2 linked regions of the Mytilus edulis genome follow. The protein of the gene in region 2 interacts with the protein of the main gene of each other region in a biochemical or structural test. Links are inferred from orthologs where the notes say so. Each region holds a gene or a part of one and is shown on either strand. Other genes may lie near its edges.

The links.
Region 1: of the proteins of serine-protein kinase ATM-like (region 2) and serine/threonine-protein kinase Chk2-like, one has a biochemical effect on the other in vitro, tested with the Homo sapiens proteins (6 studies listed by BioGRID, with this or other methods). The link is inferred for Mytilus edulis from reciprocal best matches to the Homo sapiens genes ATM and CHEK2.

The regions. Positions count from the first base shown.
Region 1 is NC_092349.1:15,393,482-15,401,373, reverse strand, and holds the start of serine/threonine-protein kinase Chk2-like, read left to right. Parts: upstream 1-4,882; 5' UTR 4,883-4,954; coding exon 4,955-5,084; intron 5,085-7,892. UniProt on the Homo sapiens protein: Serine/threonine-protein kinase which is required for checkpoint-mediated cell cycle arrest, activation of DNA repair and apoptosis in response to the presence of DNA double-strand breaks.
Region 2 is NC_092353.1:10,605,736-10,613,410, reverse strand, and holds the start of serine-protein kinase ATM-like, read left to right. Parts: upstream 1-4,663; 5' UTR 4,664-4,757; intron 4,758-6,712; 5' UTR 6,713-6,737; coding exon 6,738-6,806; intron 6,807-7,349; coding exon 7,350-7,475; intron 7,476-7,675. Other genes in the region: c-Myc-binding protein-like, read right to left, coding at 373-421, 1,408-1,480, 4,335-4,349.

The DNA of each region.
Region 1 (7,892 bases), on a different chromosome or scaffold from region 2:
TACCGGGATGTCGTCAATTCCTGTAGCTTTCCGTGATATGGCACGTATGACTACATCGAGAACCTCAGCTCTGGAAATAGATGCATTAAGCGTAGATACATCAATTTCAATATTAAAGTTCGCAGAATCAAGTTCCGTTTCGACACCGGTTTTTCGCTTAAATAATGAATGAAAATCGGTCTTCCACTTCATAACATTCATAACATCGCTTCTGTTTGTTAACTGAACCGTTCTCATCAACAATTGCCATTGGAATACACGGTTTACGCTCGTTGGCAATACCCAATTTACCAATAGATTTCCAGAAATCACGCTGATTGGTTTCACACAATTTATTTTCAGTAATATGTCGTTCATTGGCTTGATATTTCCTTTTAAATTTTCGGTTAAGACAGTCAAAAGTTTTTCTTTCGGAACAGTATTCTTTTTTTATATTTTTGCTTTAAAGATGTTGGTCCAGTGTAACGTAACCACTTCTTTTCAGCTGCTTTACTCCATTGACGAGCTAGACTATCATTCCAATAAGGTATAAAACGTGACTTCTTTCGTTTATCCCCACTTGAACTATTATAAACAGGTAACTTGTTGTGTCCATTTCACATTTAATTAAAGATTGGAATTCGTCGTAGGCATTTTGAACATCACTTGATATACTTCAATATAATTTTCTATTTTCTGAATAGCTTCCAGTACTTTATGAAATATATTCTCATTTAGCAAGAAATCATTTGGCACAGATGAAACATTATGCTTATATCTAGCATTATTCTCACTTTTATTCATATCCATATTCCTTTTTAAATTAATAGATAAATTCACATCACAATATAATACTGAGTGATCCGGAATACTATCAGGAATGTATGAAATATTATTGATTATATCTGACATTTGAACTATTTTGAAGTCTTCAATATTTTCCATATCTTCGTAAGGAACACATATATAATCTACTACAGATTTTCCAGTTGTAGAAACACAGGTAAATTGGTTATCATTAAATCGCCCATTTAGCATGCCGAAATTAACGTCACTTAAAAAATTAATAAACACATCTCCATGATGATTTTCTGTATGATCAAATATAATTCCTTGGTTTAACTAGATCAACACCTTCAATATAATCGGAGTGTGATCCTACACGAGAGTTAAAATCGCCACAAATAAATATTTTCCCTTTGTGTTGATAAGAATAAACCTGATGTAATAGATTTCGAAACAAGAATGTGTCCATAGTACACGGATGCCCCACTCGCATTATCATTTTCTATGTTCAGTAGACCGTGAAATTGGGGTCAAAACTAAATCAATTAAATTAGAAAGATCATATCATAGGGAACATGTGTACTAAGTTTGAAGTTGATTGGACTTCAACTTCATCAAAAACTACCTTGACCAAAAACTTTAACTTGAACGAATGGACGGAAGGACGGACGGACGGACGCACAGACCAGAAAACATAATGCCCCTCTACTATCGTAGGTGGGACATAAAAATACGTCCGAATCCACAGGTTGACATGAATCTGCAAATAACATATTGCAACACAAAAGCATAGTCTTGCAACCATAATACTCCCTCTTCCTCCTCATCTAAAACATGTATATCAAACATATCCGCTATATTGTTTTTCACAAATGCCCCTACTACTGCTGAGCTGCGAGTGGCAAGTTTATGCAATGCTTTCCTATTATTTCCATAAAATCTAAAACCATGAACGTGCAGGCGTTCATTTCCACGTAAAAATGTTTCACAAATTCCAATTATATCACAGTTAATGTAGTTTAAAACTTTTTCCCGGAAAATTGAATTTTCGTTCGATTTTGTAGACCATCCCCTGCAGTTCCATACCGCAAGCCGCACTGCATCCTATGTGCGCTTAGCTAAGAGTCGACTTCCTGCAAATTTATAGTCTTTGTCTTTTCTCATTTCTTTCAAAACGGTCCTCATCGCATTTTGGAAGTTCCTCGTTTCCAACGGCTTAAGGTTCATCATAAGGAATTGAAAAATATGGCCGTGTTTACACCTCCAAAATTACTATGAGTACAGACAAACTGGTACATCCAGGAAAGTTTTAAGGCATGGCAGGAACTAGATATATAAAAGTTATATAAAGTCTACGTTTCAGAAAATTAAACACTTACCTGGATTTTGATGTTCATTTTTTTTTCCAGTCTGCAGAAGAGAGCAAATAAATAAACACCAGAGTTTCATTTGATACGGTCCACTCACTTACACAGTTTAAACCTGTTAAATCACCTATTGTTTACAGGTGTCTATTGTCCATCTATTGTCCATTTAAATCAATACTACTCACAACATTGATTATATGAGGGGAGCTTCTCAATCGTTTTCACTACTTAGTTAATTTTTGCACCTTCTGCAGGAACGAAAAAAAAAATGGATAGCAAAATCTAGAAAAGTTTATAATTTTCTGAAACACAAAATGCATTTAAAATTTATATATCTAGTTCCTGCCATCCCTTAAAACTGTTGCAGGTGTATAGGTTAGTCTGTACTCAGAGTAAAATTTGGGGTGTAAATACGGCCATTTTAGCCAAAAGGTTATGATGAACCATAATTCTTTCGGACACTTTTACTGATATTTTTTCCTCCATGTTAGTTTTGAGGTCATCAATTCTTTTTTCTAAGCTTATACTCATAGATGTAAAATTTGCCGACAATTGAAGAATTAAATATTCAAGTCTATTTTGGGAATTTTCGCTATCAATCGCCGAGGGTGCACTCGAGTAGCTCAAATCACATCTACTTTTCTTGTTTATATTATCAGATTCGATGAAGTGTTCAGCCATTTGATCTGATTGGTGTTTTCTTTCGCTTGGTGAAGCAATGTTATAATTAAAAGTACTTACAGGCACATGTCCATTACTCGTCATCAAGTTGTTGACATACTGACCGGCGCCATTTGTACACAAACAATAATTAGAAAATTCATCCATCGTGTAATATATCCAGTTATTTTGCAAATTAAAATGCCCAGTAGATCGTATTTCCACTAAGCACTGTATATAGTTACTTGTTAAGTCGATTTGAAAAGCTCACTAGAGCTTGTGTTATGTAGTTTATTGAATATCGACTCTAAATAAAACTTTCAATCTTGAATCTTGAATCTAGGAATTTTTTTTCTGAACGAAAAAAAATGCTTTGCAAGGACTTGAAGTTTGAATAAAATCGCAAAAATTTGTGTTTTAATTTGTTTATTCATTTTAAGTATTATTTTCGAAATTTGATTTTCGAATATCCACAAAATTCATATGTAACATATATGTGTAATGATATTATATATCTGTTTTCCAACTGAGTTCAAATGATAAATGTGTGTAAAAATAAACTATAGCTGGTGCTTGAATGTCTCCTTCTAAACCTTCTTTTTAAAACATTTTTTTATGAATCAGCGACTCATCTTAGGCCGTGTTCACACCAAACGCCATGTATAATAAACTTGTTTACAATTAGTTTAATGTACTGGACATTGGTTTCACATTAAATTTGTTCACATCTATACACCTTGTTTAATTACCTGTACATAAGATTTGATCACACTTGTAAACTCTATGTTATTTAAATGTTCATTACGTTGAACCGAATGCAAAGTTTTCGGAAACTTTTCTAGCAGTAAGGGAACGACCATTTGACTTCAAATCGGGGACGGGGGTCTCGATGGAAATATTTCGAACCCCAATTGGATAAAAAAAAAAAGGTCCTACCGATGATACAAAAATATTCTAAATCAAGAGTTTCCCCATACATTATAGCGTTAAATGTTGAAAAAAAAATTGATTACCAGCATCGAAAAAACCCCGGAATAAAACGTTTGCGCGGAAAAATTTCTGGCTCAGATTAATTAACAAAATACCCCTCCCTTTTTTTTTTAAGTCAAGTGGCTGCTTCTTTATGAAAGCCATTTTGATGATTTGCAGTAGTTTAAAAATAATAAAGATGTCTCGATTTAGCATTAGAAAACGTAGGCTGCAGCAGCGTGCTTACAGGCGAAAAATATATATATTTTATCTCATAAAGCCAATGCATTACATCGGTACAGAGATTGAAGGAGAAGAGGAAATGATATATTAGGGATCACCATATTATTCCTATCTTTTCTGTTTGTTTCAAATGGTATTTCTTCTCCAAGGAGTATTTGACAAAGGGAGGGGGTAATGTTTTTTTTTAGTTTTAAGAGTAATTTAACGGATCCGAGATACATGTACTAGACAAACAATACATTTACCTCACACTTTTTAAGTAATGCATTTATGAGTGAATCGTTGTTTCAGTAAAGACCAGTGGCAAACATTTCTGTACAAGTCAAGTCGATTCGGAAAGACCTTAATTTTCAAATGAATTTTGTGTTCGGCAATGATGCTGCTTTGAGTCTTGATAAGGGCTTCAATAAAGCTACGTTAAGTTTAAAAATACCCAAATAAATATATCAAGTTTAGACAAATATTTCTGTAAAGAACTTTATTAATAACTGTTATAAATATCAATTTTATTCAAAAATTGTTTCTTCCTTAAATATACACGGTGAAACTAATGTTTTAAATGCCTAGTTTTGTGTACACTTAATATACACAAGGCCTACATCGAGTATCGACTGCATGTAGACAAAACATGTTTTACACTACATGTAAACATTGAATTTTATCAATGGGAACGTAATTTTGTTTAGTTTACGTGTGAGTTACACTTACACAACACCGAGTTTAGGTCAATGTGAACACGGCCTTAGGTGGGGGCATGTTCTTAGACTCTTTTTTTTTTAAATTACCTAATTCTAAATTTCTTTTAAAAAATAACACAATCCGGAAATTCAATTGACTCGATATACGACTCTTATATTATATATTTTAATTTAAATCACTCTAACGATTTAGATGATGCGCATGTGTGTTGCCGGTCCGCTTGTGCAACTGTAAACAGAAAAAATTAAGACATGGATATTCATGATAATATGCAAACAGTCCCTTCGGATTTCATTGATGGAGTTGACAGCGAAGAAAATGAAGACAATGCAGAAGTGTGGGGGAGAATGTTTCCACTTGGATCAAGTTTTATTGCAGTCGGTAAAAAACATGCATAGAAAATCGTACATGTTTTTGTGTGTTTTTATTTACTCTGCCTCTGGTATATAAGGTTCATCATCAAGGTTGGCAAAGTATTACCCACCGGGAAAACACCCCCGTTTTCCCGGGCTGGGCAATACTCCCAGAAATGGGTGATCATGGTGATAGTGGGCATTACTGGGCAATATGATTTTTTAAGCTTATTTATACACAAAATAGTAAAGACTTGTTATAGTTTCATAGTATAACAGCTAAATATATCCTTTTTATACAGATAACCATTGACAGTCATTTCTAGAAAATTCAATTTCATTCTCTTCTCTAGAAATGTTATATGTAGGCAGAATAGTGCACATTAAAAGATACCTTTTAATTACCATGATTACCAAGTATTGTTTCAATAATCCAAACTTTGAAAAATGCATCTTATTGCAGTGTTTAACCCTTTCACCGATTGCTGCCCAGACAGAAGCTACTCTGAGACGATGGCTTCCCTGGCTACTATTACTCAAGTGGGAGATCTTCATAATAAATGTCAATAAAAACTTGTTTGTAGTTATTTGTGTATTTACATACCTGCCAACTTTCACGATTTAGGCGTGTACTACACGATTTTGACCCTCTGTCCCGATTACACGATCGTGATCGTGAAAATAGCCAAAAAACACGATTTTAGTAATATTTACACGAAAAATATTTTTGTTCCCGATTTTGAACTTTTGAAAAGTTTTCCCAAGGGAGACAAATCGTGTCTGGCAAATTTCATCCAATCAAAATTTAGTGATCACGCATTCACCAGTTGATTAATGTCGGCATAGTAAACAATCAAAGAATCAAAGATTGTTAGGTATTTTTAGTTGTTTATCAAAAGTTATCACTTGCAAAATGGTTCTGTCACCGCCTAAGAAGAAAAATCGTGTTGCTTCGTGCAAATACTTGATTTGGGAGAATAATGTCAAGTACAGGGGCTGGTTGTCTAAATCAACGTTAGGATTGCTACATGCCTTTTGTAAAGTTTGCAACAGAGACTTTACAGTTGACCACGGTGGCCTTAATGATGTCTCCAAACATTCTAGTACTGCTCTTCACCAGAAGTCATTCAACGCACAACACATCACCAAGACTGTTTGACATTACAACTTGTGATATTGATCTATATAATATATTGTTGTTTTTTTGTTATCAAATTATTAAAATTATTACTTTTTTAATTTCTTGACAATGTATCAGACAAACATAAAGTCATCTTACTGGTGTTTATCTCAACAAAAAGAATACAACAATCAAACAATTTAAAAAAGATGGGTTAATATAACAGCATCTTCAACTATCACCCCCCAAAAAAGAAGTATGTCAGCCACTTTTAGGAGCCAAATCATCACACGAAAAAATGGCGCGAAAAATTCTACCCTCAAAAATGGTGCCGCGCACAAAAACCCCCATGGCCATTTTCAAAAGTTGGCAGGTATGTATTTATTTCATTCACTAACATCATGTTCACAGTTTTGTTCATGTTTTGATAATTTATTCTTCATAAAATATTCAAATTTTCAAATTTTCGGCATTATCTAGGTGAAATTCTCAAAATTCTGCTCTAAGACCCCAAATCGTAATTTTTTAACCCAAAACGGCATAAATTGAAAAATTTTATGAGGCTGTACAAATTCCTCGCACTGAACGATGTCCATTCCAAATGTTTTGTACATAAAACGACATTTTATGTCAAAAAAGTATACTAGTTTGGCTTCAATTCTTCCATATTCTTTCAAAAAAAATGTTCCCTCATTTCAAATTCTTGTAAATTCCGTAAATTTCGTCTGATTTTGACACGGTTTTCAACAAACGGAAGCGCCATGTTTACACTTTCATCCGGGTATTCATCAAAGAAAGATAACTCATGTTTGCACTGTTTTGAGCGGGAAATATAAAAGAGGTATTCCGATCCCGGTAAAACGGGACTCATCGTCAGCTGTCTGAAGCGTGAATCCCGGTAAACCGGGACTCATCGGCGAAAGGGTTAAGTGAATTGTTAATTTTAATTGTTATACATTCATATTGCTAAATAAACACCCTACAGGGTCATGCCATTAACACTTATAAAATTGAAAGGACTAATTATTGTTACATAAACAAATCTGTGTTCTAATCTGAATAATTACTTATTAAATTAGTGACAGTACATATACATTATTTAAATGTGATGTTTCTTTAATACATGCAATTCTTAATAGGAGCTATATTCATTTGAAAAAAAATGGTTTACTTGCTTTCTATTTACAGTTTGCCAATCTAGACAAATGCTAAACAAACAAAATGGGGTATAAATATCTTATTAAATGTATTGCATTTGTGTTTATCTCTGAATCCTCTTTAAAATTCAGACAAATATTTTATATTACCCAGTATTACCCACTAAAACCCAATAAAACCCGGGTTTTCCCAGTATTTCCCACTGGGCTGGGCAATACTCATAAAACCCGGGTTTTTGCCAACCCTGTTCATCATACCAAATGAGTAACAATGATTTTATTTTCATCTCTCAAAATGATTCCAATTTATCTGAAATGGTTGGTTGTTTTACAAATAATAACTGCCAACATTAGGCTTATGCATAATTTTGTAATGGTTGATTTTAAAAACTAATCCTTAGATTATCACAGGAACATATACATAAAATTGAGAATGGAAATGGGGAATGTGTCAAAGAGACAACAACCCGACCAAATAAAAAACAACAGCAGAGGGTCACCAACAGGTCTTCAATGTAGCGAGAAATTCCCGCACCCGGAGGCGTCCTTCAGCTGGCCC
Region 2 (7,675 bases):
CTGTAAATTGTGACAAATTTAAGGTCATGCCAGGTTTTTTTGGTAGCTATACAGGTATGGTTTGGCATTTACTCATTGTTGAAGAACATACCTTGATAAATAGCTAACTAAATCCACTTCACTTAACACTTGGACCTTTAACATAAACTTTAACCTGATAAAAGACATGCTAATTTATTAACTCAGACATCACTAAGCAATATCAAATGCCCTTACTATCATAGAATGTTACGAAGATGAATTTAAATAACGTACAGAGAACAAAATCAGTGTTTTAATTTGATTGTAGATGTTTTTGTTTTAATGTTTTCAATTAACCATAAGTATAATTTATTAATTTCAAATTTGCCCATTGAATTATTTTAAGGATACTCCAATGCATTATTTGGCTTTTCTGGTTCTTCATACAACCCAACCAAAACTGAAAAAGAAAATGATAATTCATAAATTACATAATACTGATACTACATAAATTTATCAAACAGAAATACTTAAAATATGTGTGAAGTATGGAAATAATAGAAAGACCATAAAAAGACATTACAACTGTCAAACATAATAGCGTCTTTGTGTTTGCTGCCTTCTATAACATGCAGTATAAACATGAAAAAAGATTTCAACCATTTTTTTCTGAATGTGTAATTCAGAATTCTTTTACTACTGAAAATTATGACATCTCTGCTTCATAATGGACCTTGAGAAAAAATTATTAAAAACTCTGAGATATTTCTTGTCATATGATACATGTACATTTGTACCTAATAGTGTACTTGCAGTTCCTTCACACCATGCATCATCATTACCAATTTTCCACTTATTACTTTTGCCATTTTTTTCAACAGCTTGACTCTTAATTATTGATTGATATTATGAGTCCAATCCATTTTACTTTTACTAAATAACATATGTAAACTTAACAGATTTTAAATTGGTTTTTATAATGACTAGTCTTAAGCATACACATGCATATTGAAATAACAAAAAAAATAAGTATGTATTAATCTAAAAGACCACTTTTAAGTTCATCCTTCGCCGGAAAAAACTTGTCAATTATACGCGCCTTTATGACGTCATTTAACAGATAGAGGGGTCGCCTGTATCCCTGCACCATTTACGTTCATCAAGCGTCTTAGTGATCGTCATAGTGCATGATAAACTACAAATAATGGTTGGTCTGTAGGTACTTAATGACAATTCCCTAATGACAGCAATGCTGATTGTCAATTTTGAGAATTCAATTTGCCGAATAATTCGTACAATATAGAATTATAGTTTTCCAACTACTCGCTCAACATTGGAATGGAAGTGACGACGCCCCTAAACGCACAAATGACGTTCACTAAAACCAGAGTTTTTGACGGAAATGCATCCAAATCGAAAGTTGTCTATTTATTTTATGCATCATACCTTTTGTTAAGGCATCTAATACACCTGCTTTCTCTAAATATTTTCTGAACTCCTCTCTCTTGCTGTCAGCTCCCTACAGTGTAAATTTTATTTCATAAGTGATCATTGCAAGAAATTTGTAGAAACAAGTCGTCTAGTCTCAAAGGAAACTGTATCATTATTCATGAACTTTTGAATCTTCACCTAAAAACCACCTTCAACATCAGCATGACCATGGTGGCAGTAAAACTATTTTTCTGCATTTATGGTGAAATATAATTTAGAAGAATACATTTTTTAGAAAGGAGAATGTTCACAATAGACTACAAATTTTCATATTAAATAAGTTTTGATATAAATACAAAATAAACTGTACATGTTGACCCAGAGCTATTATCCAGAATTTAAATTAATTCTGATTCATATAATTCCTTGTTTTAGTTTATATATCATTGATCATGTTGATATGCTTTATATATACACAAACTACATGTAGATGTGTCAAAGCGACACGAATGGCCCCATCTCCAAAAATTGAAAAATCTGCAATTTCAATTACACATGTGGACACAAACATGATGGTAGTCTCACATATAAAAGAATCAGCTAAAAATCTGGAGGCGTATAGAAAAAAGTTGTAAACCCTTAATTTTAGAAAAAATTAGCGGAGTGGAACAAAACTTAAACTTGATCTGTAACTCATCATTGTTAGCCACATACCAAAAATCAGCCCAATATCTGAAAGCGTTTAGAAAAAAAGTCTGTATAACAGCGATTTTCAAAATTTTATTAAAGTCCAAAGCCAAAAATTACAGCAAAAATTAGCAGAGCAGCGAAACTTAAACTTGATCTGTAACTTATGAATAACTCACAAACCAAAAAATCATCCCAATATCTGAAAGTGTTTAGAAAAAAAGTCTGTATAACTGTGATTTTCAACAATTTATCAAAGTCCAAAGCCCATAATTTTGTCAAAAATTAGCGAAGCAGAACAAAACTTAAACTTGATCTGTAACTCATCATGGAGAACTTATATTCCAAAGATCAGCCCAATATCTGAAGCGGTTTTCAAAAAAAACTCTGTATAATGGTTTGTTGTGGAATGACGGAATTTTGGAATTTCAGACAGGGGTAAAACTATATGTCCCGACCACTTAGTGGCGGGGCCATAAAAACTAAACTTAAATTCATTAAGTTTGTATTTTTTTTTTAACATTATTTGTTTGAATAAGACTATAAAATTGTGTGATGCTAGATTTGACTTCTAGTTGCTAAACTTGTCTTCTTGTCGCTGCTGTGTCAGAATCTAATGGAGTAATTCTTTCTGTCGAATTATACTTTCAAAATCTAACAGTACACTCAATTGCTATAATTTGTTCAAAACATCCTAAACAATGACTGTCTATACCGTTCGCCACTGATCCAATGTCCCAGACTAGAACAATTCTATTTGGACTAGCAAGTATTTGCAAAACATTGTTCAGACACATAATGAAAAATGGCAAAATATTGGTCTTTTCCGTTAAGTCTTTGGATTAGAAGAAGTAAATGTAGTAGAAGTTGGTAAAGTTTTGGTGCAGACTGATTGACTTGAACATCTTTTCAATTTTGTTGTACTCACAATAAAATTACACATAAAATTGAGAAAGGAAATGGGGAATGATTTAAAAGACAACAACCCAACCATAGAGCAGATAACAGCCAAAGGCCACCAATGAATCTTCAATGTAGCGAGAAACTCCCGCACACGGAGGCGTCCTTCAGCTGGCCCCTTAAAAAATATGTATACTAGTACAGTGAGAATGGACCTCATACTAAACTCTGAATAATACGTAAGAAACTAAAATTAAAAATCATACAGGACTAACAAAGGCCAGAGGCTCCTGACTTGGGACAGGCCCAAAATAGCGGCAGGGTTAAACAGGTCTATGAGATCGTAACCCTTCCCCTATACCTCTATAGTCTTTTACTTTGATTCTGAAAAATTGGAGACCACAACTGACTTTACACTAACAGTGGAGTCCCCACAGCCTGTGATATCGCACATTAGCTGATTTCATCATATCAACACATTAATATAAATAAAATCATTCTTGTTATTGTTTAAGCCTTCTGAAGGGAAAAAAAAAGAATAAAATTGATAAGTTCAAGAGTTCATTAATAACTGCAATTCCTTGATTTACCATATTTGGTCAATTTCCATTAAAAAAATACATCATCAGATAAAATTTGTTTTACCTAAGTCAAATTTAATTATGATATGAAATAATTTTTTGCTCTGCATCCATTGGCATCTTTGGCAGTGTGTTTCACTGTTTGGTTCAAATTCAGCTACATTTAGTAGTATAAAATCTTTCTTTTATTCAAAATAACCTATTTTTGTAAGGCATGCGAGAAATCACCAGACATTGGAGGAACTCTCAGAAAAGGGGATTCCCTAATTTTGGACACACATTACTAAAAATTCTGAGGATGAAACCATACAAACAGAAGATTTTATAAAATAAAAGTATGTTATGAAGTGTTCACACAATTTTATCCAATTTTTGGTTTTATTTGTTGAATGAAGTGAAGTCAAAAGTCTTAGGTGTGCAGATACACCGGACTGCACCGCAACATTAATTTAAGCTGGGATATAACTTCCTTGAATTTGTAAGACATTCCTTTTTTCATAACAAACTTATCCCATTATCTTTTTCTTCTAATTACCAAAACACATCTTTTATACTTTATTCCAATATTTTAACAAGAATAGAATAACAGTCAAACTAATTTGCAATATATGACTTTAAACAGAATTATTCAGAAAAGATTGAAAAATCTGTCCTGGGTCACCTTTAGTTTTTAATTAGTTTTACTGTATTTGATTCAAGTTCGTCCATTGAAACTATACGGTTATTTAAACAGAGAAGAAGACTATTTTACGCCAATTTTGAAATAAAGTATACCCTGTAAGTTGTCATGATGTCTGATGTTGTTCTTCAATCTCGTTTCAAACAGGTCCAGTTAGGAATGGTTGCTATCAAGGTTTCGGTAACATGCGCAGTGACCGGTGAAGAACCTAGATGATAACAGGTCTCAAATAAAACTTTACAATTGTGATAAACGATCAAGTCAAATTTAAAAGTTCAATGAAGATTGGTTTGATGTAAAACTGCGGAAGAAAATAATATGTTTTCTTGTTATAATGTAAAATGCCAAAGTAGTTATCATTTAGTTTGTACGGTCAAACTTAACTTCCGTTTTTCGGAATTTGTAGCTTTATCCATTTGTTTGATGAAAAGACCCGAAAAATGTAGGAAAAAAAATCGTCTGTTTTTGAGTTTTGGAGGCATTTTCAAAATGATTGGTGTTTCTCTAATTATTCAACGGTATTTTAAAAATGAATTACTAAATACTTTAGGTTGCTTTATGACACTGTTAAGATTATTTTCCCCTTTCCTGACATGTATGAAAAAGCAAGAAGAAGAAGGGTCTTTCGGTTTTAAGTCTTTTAAAGAGACAGGCCAGCACTGCCTCAGTCACTGAGTCAGTGCCCTCAATCATTCCTTGACTTATTTTCATTTTTTATTTTTTCTGTTGTCACAGAGTTACAGAGACAATCTCACCCTTCATAAATCAAGTGCAAACTGCTGAATAGATTACACAGGAACAAATTATACTATTACTATTTTGACGGGATACACCTTATCGTTATTTGTCCGCCATTACTGGATATCACACTGGTTCCCGTAAAATTTTGACGTCATAAAATAAAATATCTGAAGCCACAATGGAAAAGTGATTGTTGTATGCGTCAAAAGTTCAAGCGGCTGGTTCAGCCGGCCGATAAGGCTAATAGAGATAAGGTGTATTGCTTCCTTTAGAAAATGTGGTATAGATACTTAGTCAGCCATAAGTGGTTGAGCTAAGGAAGTACTTCTTTAGCCCAGTCGGTTAACACACTGCATTGTAACACAGAGGTCTCGGGGTTCGATTCCAGGTGGAGACAAGCAATTTTGTAATGAAATTCATGCACTCCGGACGCCACGATATAGCCTTTTTGTGCTAATGCGGCGTAAAGCAACCAACAATCAATCATGCTCTCCGGTTACATTGGCGCCCAGCTAAAAAACCCACATAAGTTAGAGAGGAATTCTAGCTAGGGTAATGTGTGTGAGAGTCATAATGGTATGATGACTCGTGAGGTTGGGGAAGTGTGACAGGATTGCTTCCCTTAGAAAATGCGGTAGATATTCTATAAGCGGTTGAGCTAAGGAAGTACTTCTTTAGCTCAATCGGTTAGCACATTGTCTTGTAAGGCAGAGGTCATCGGTTCGAGTCACGGTGGAGACAAGCAATTTTGTAATGAAACTTATGCTCTCCGGTTACAATGTCAATAGGGACAAAATTGGAGTGTTTAATTATGAAAAATGTATTACAAATGGTAAAATGTATCCTCATCTCATGGGTTTTCGTGGTATTAAAAATGCATTGTGACGTCACAATTTCTATTGAAAAAGCATTCATAGTACAAATTCATATTATGTATGAAAACAAATGATCAGACCATAGGCATAGAAGAAAGAGGTTAAAACTTGTAAAATATATGTACTTTAACATGCATGTTCAGCCATATGATCAGATGATATGGGAGGAATTTGCATTAAGAATAATTTTTTTGTCATCTGCTCGATCACTATTTTTTACATCAATGTGGAGATAGAAAAAAAACAATAACCATGATAACCCCCCTGGAAGTGAAATAGTCATTCCCTAACATGGACAAAACTATTTATTAAACTAGTTAAATCATAGAATTTGCACCTCTTTATTTTTGTATGCAGACTTTACATGCACTGAATTTTGCTGGTAAATTATATTCATTTAAAATTATGTGTGCCTTCTAGTTGTTGTGTGTAGCTTTAGTGATTGTGTTTTTTCTTCCCAGTTATAACAAATAGTTATGATACTATACAGTTACAGCTATTCAATTTTAAAGTACACTGTTTTCCATCTATTTTTCTAAGCCAAGGTATAAGAAAATTGTACATGTATGTAAACATATATAATTAACTAAGTTTTATCAACATATCATTTTCTGCTATTGATTATTTATTCCAAAACCAATGCTGAGAGAGAAAGCAGATATCACAATTGATGGATATATTTATTTGTCCCTCATAGTTATAAGTTTTACTTGTATTTCTTTGCTTTGTGGTTTAAGCTATAAGCTGTTACTCTTTATAAACAAATTTATAGAGCTTGCTCACTGAATGTTTTTCAATTATAAAAAAAAAATATTTTAATAACTTGGTAATAATCTTAACCATTTATTTCAATTTAGAATTGCATATCATTAACATGAAAAAATGGATAGCTTATCAGATGTGATTTCCTGCTGTCGTGGACTGTTGTTAGAAAAAATAACAGAAAGAAAGGTTTGTATCTTTTTATACAACAACTATATTATGTTTGTAAATCTTTTTTTTTGAATTAACTGAACCCTAAGTTATTTCAAAAAGTGTGATATCCCAACTCCCAGTGATAGGTAAATTGAGGGGCACCACACCTCTAAATTGAACGAAAGGTTCATAAACTAGGATTTTTTTAATGAAATAGACCAGAATACACAGCCATACTCAGTGCAAGTTACATTTGATTTCACACTCATCAATTGAAACAAAATGCTGGGGTAAAGCATTGTTTTCCACTGTAAGTCCACATAATATAATGAAGGATGAACACATGATGTCACCCCCAGTTAACTCCACCTTCTGTTTGTAAACTATATTATTCAGGGTGTTAGTACCTACAAGAAAGGTGTTTATGTTATAAATTAGGATTGTTATTTCTACAAGATAGGTGTTTATGTTATAAATTAGGATTGTTATTTCTACAAGAAAGGTGTTTATGTTATAAATTAGGATTGTTATTTCCTTTAACTTCTTTACAAATGACCTGGTTTGGTTTCATTATTTTAGAAAAGTGCAGAGAAATTTCGTCAGTTACTGTGTAAGAGTACTGTTATCAAAGCGTTGGATAGATATACAGACAGTAAGAATGCTGGAAGTTCTGATGAACAGTTAACTTGGGATTATGTCTTCAAAGTAAGTAAATCAATGAGACTTGAAGGAGGAGAAGTTATAAGACTCAACATAATAAAATTTAGTTATTATATTATATTGTTTTCCTAGCTTTTGGAAAATTAAAACTTTTATTTCTCATGTAAAGTGCATTTTGATTTTCAATACTTATCAAAACCTATGGATTGAAAGTGTATTCTTTAGAACCATATATGATACATTTT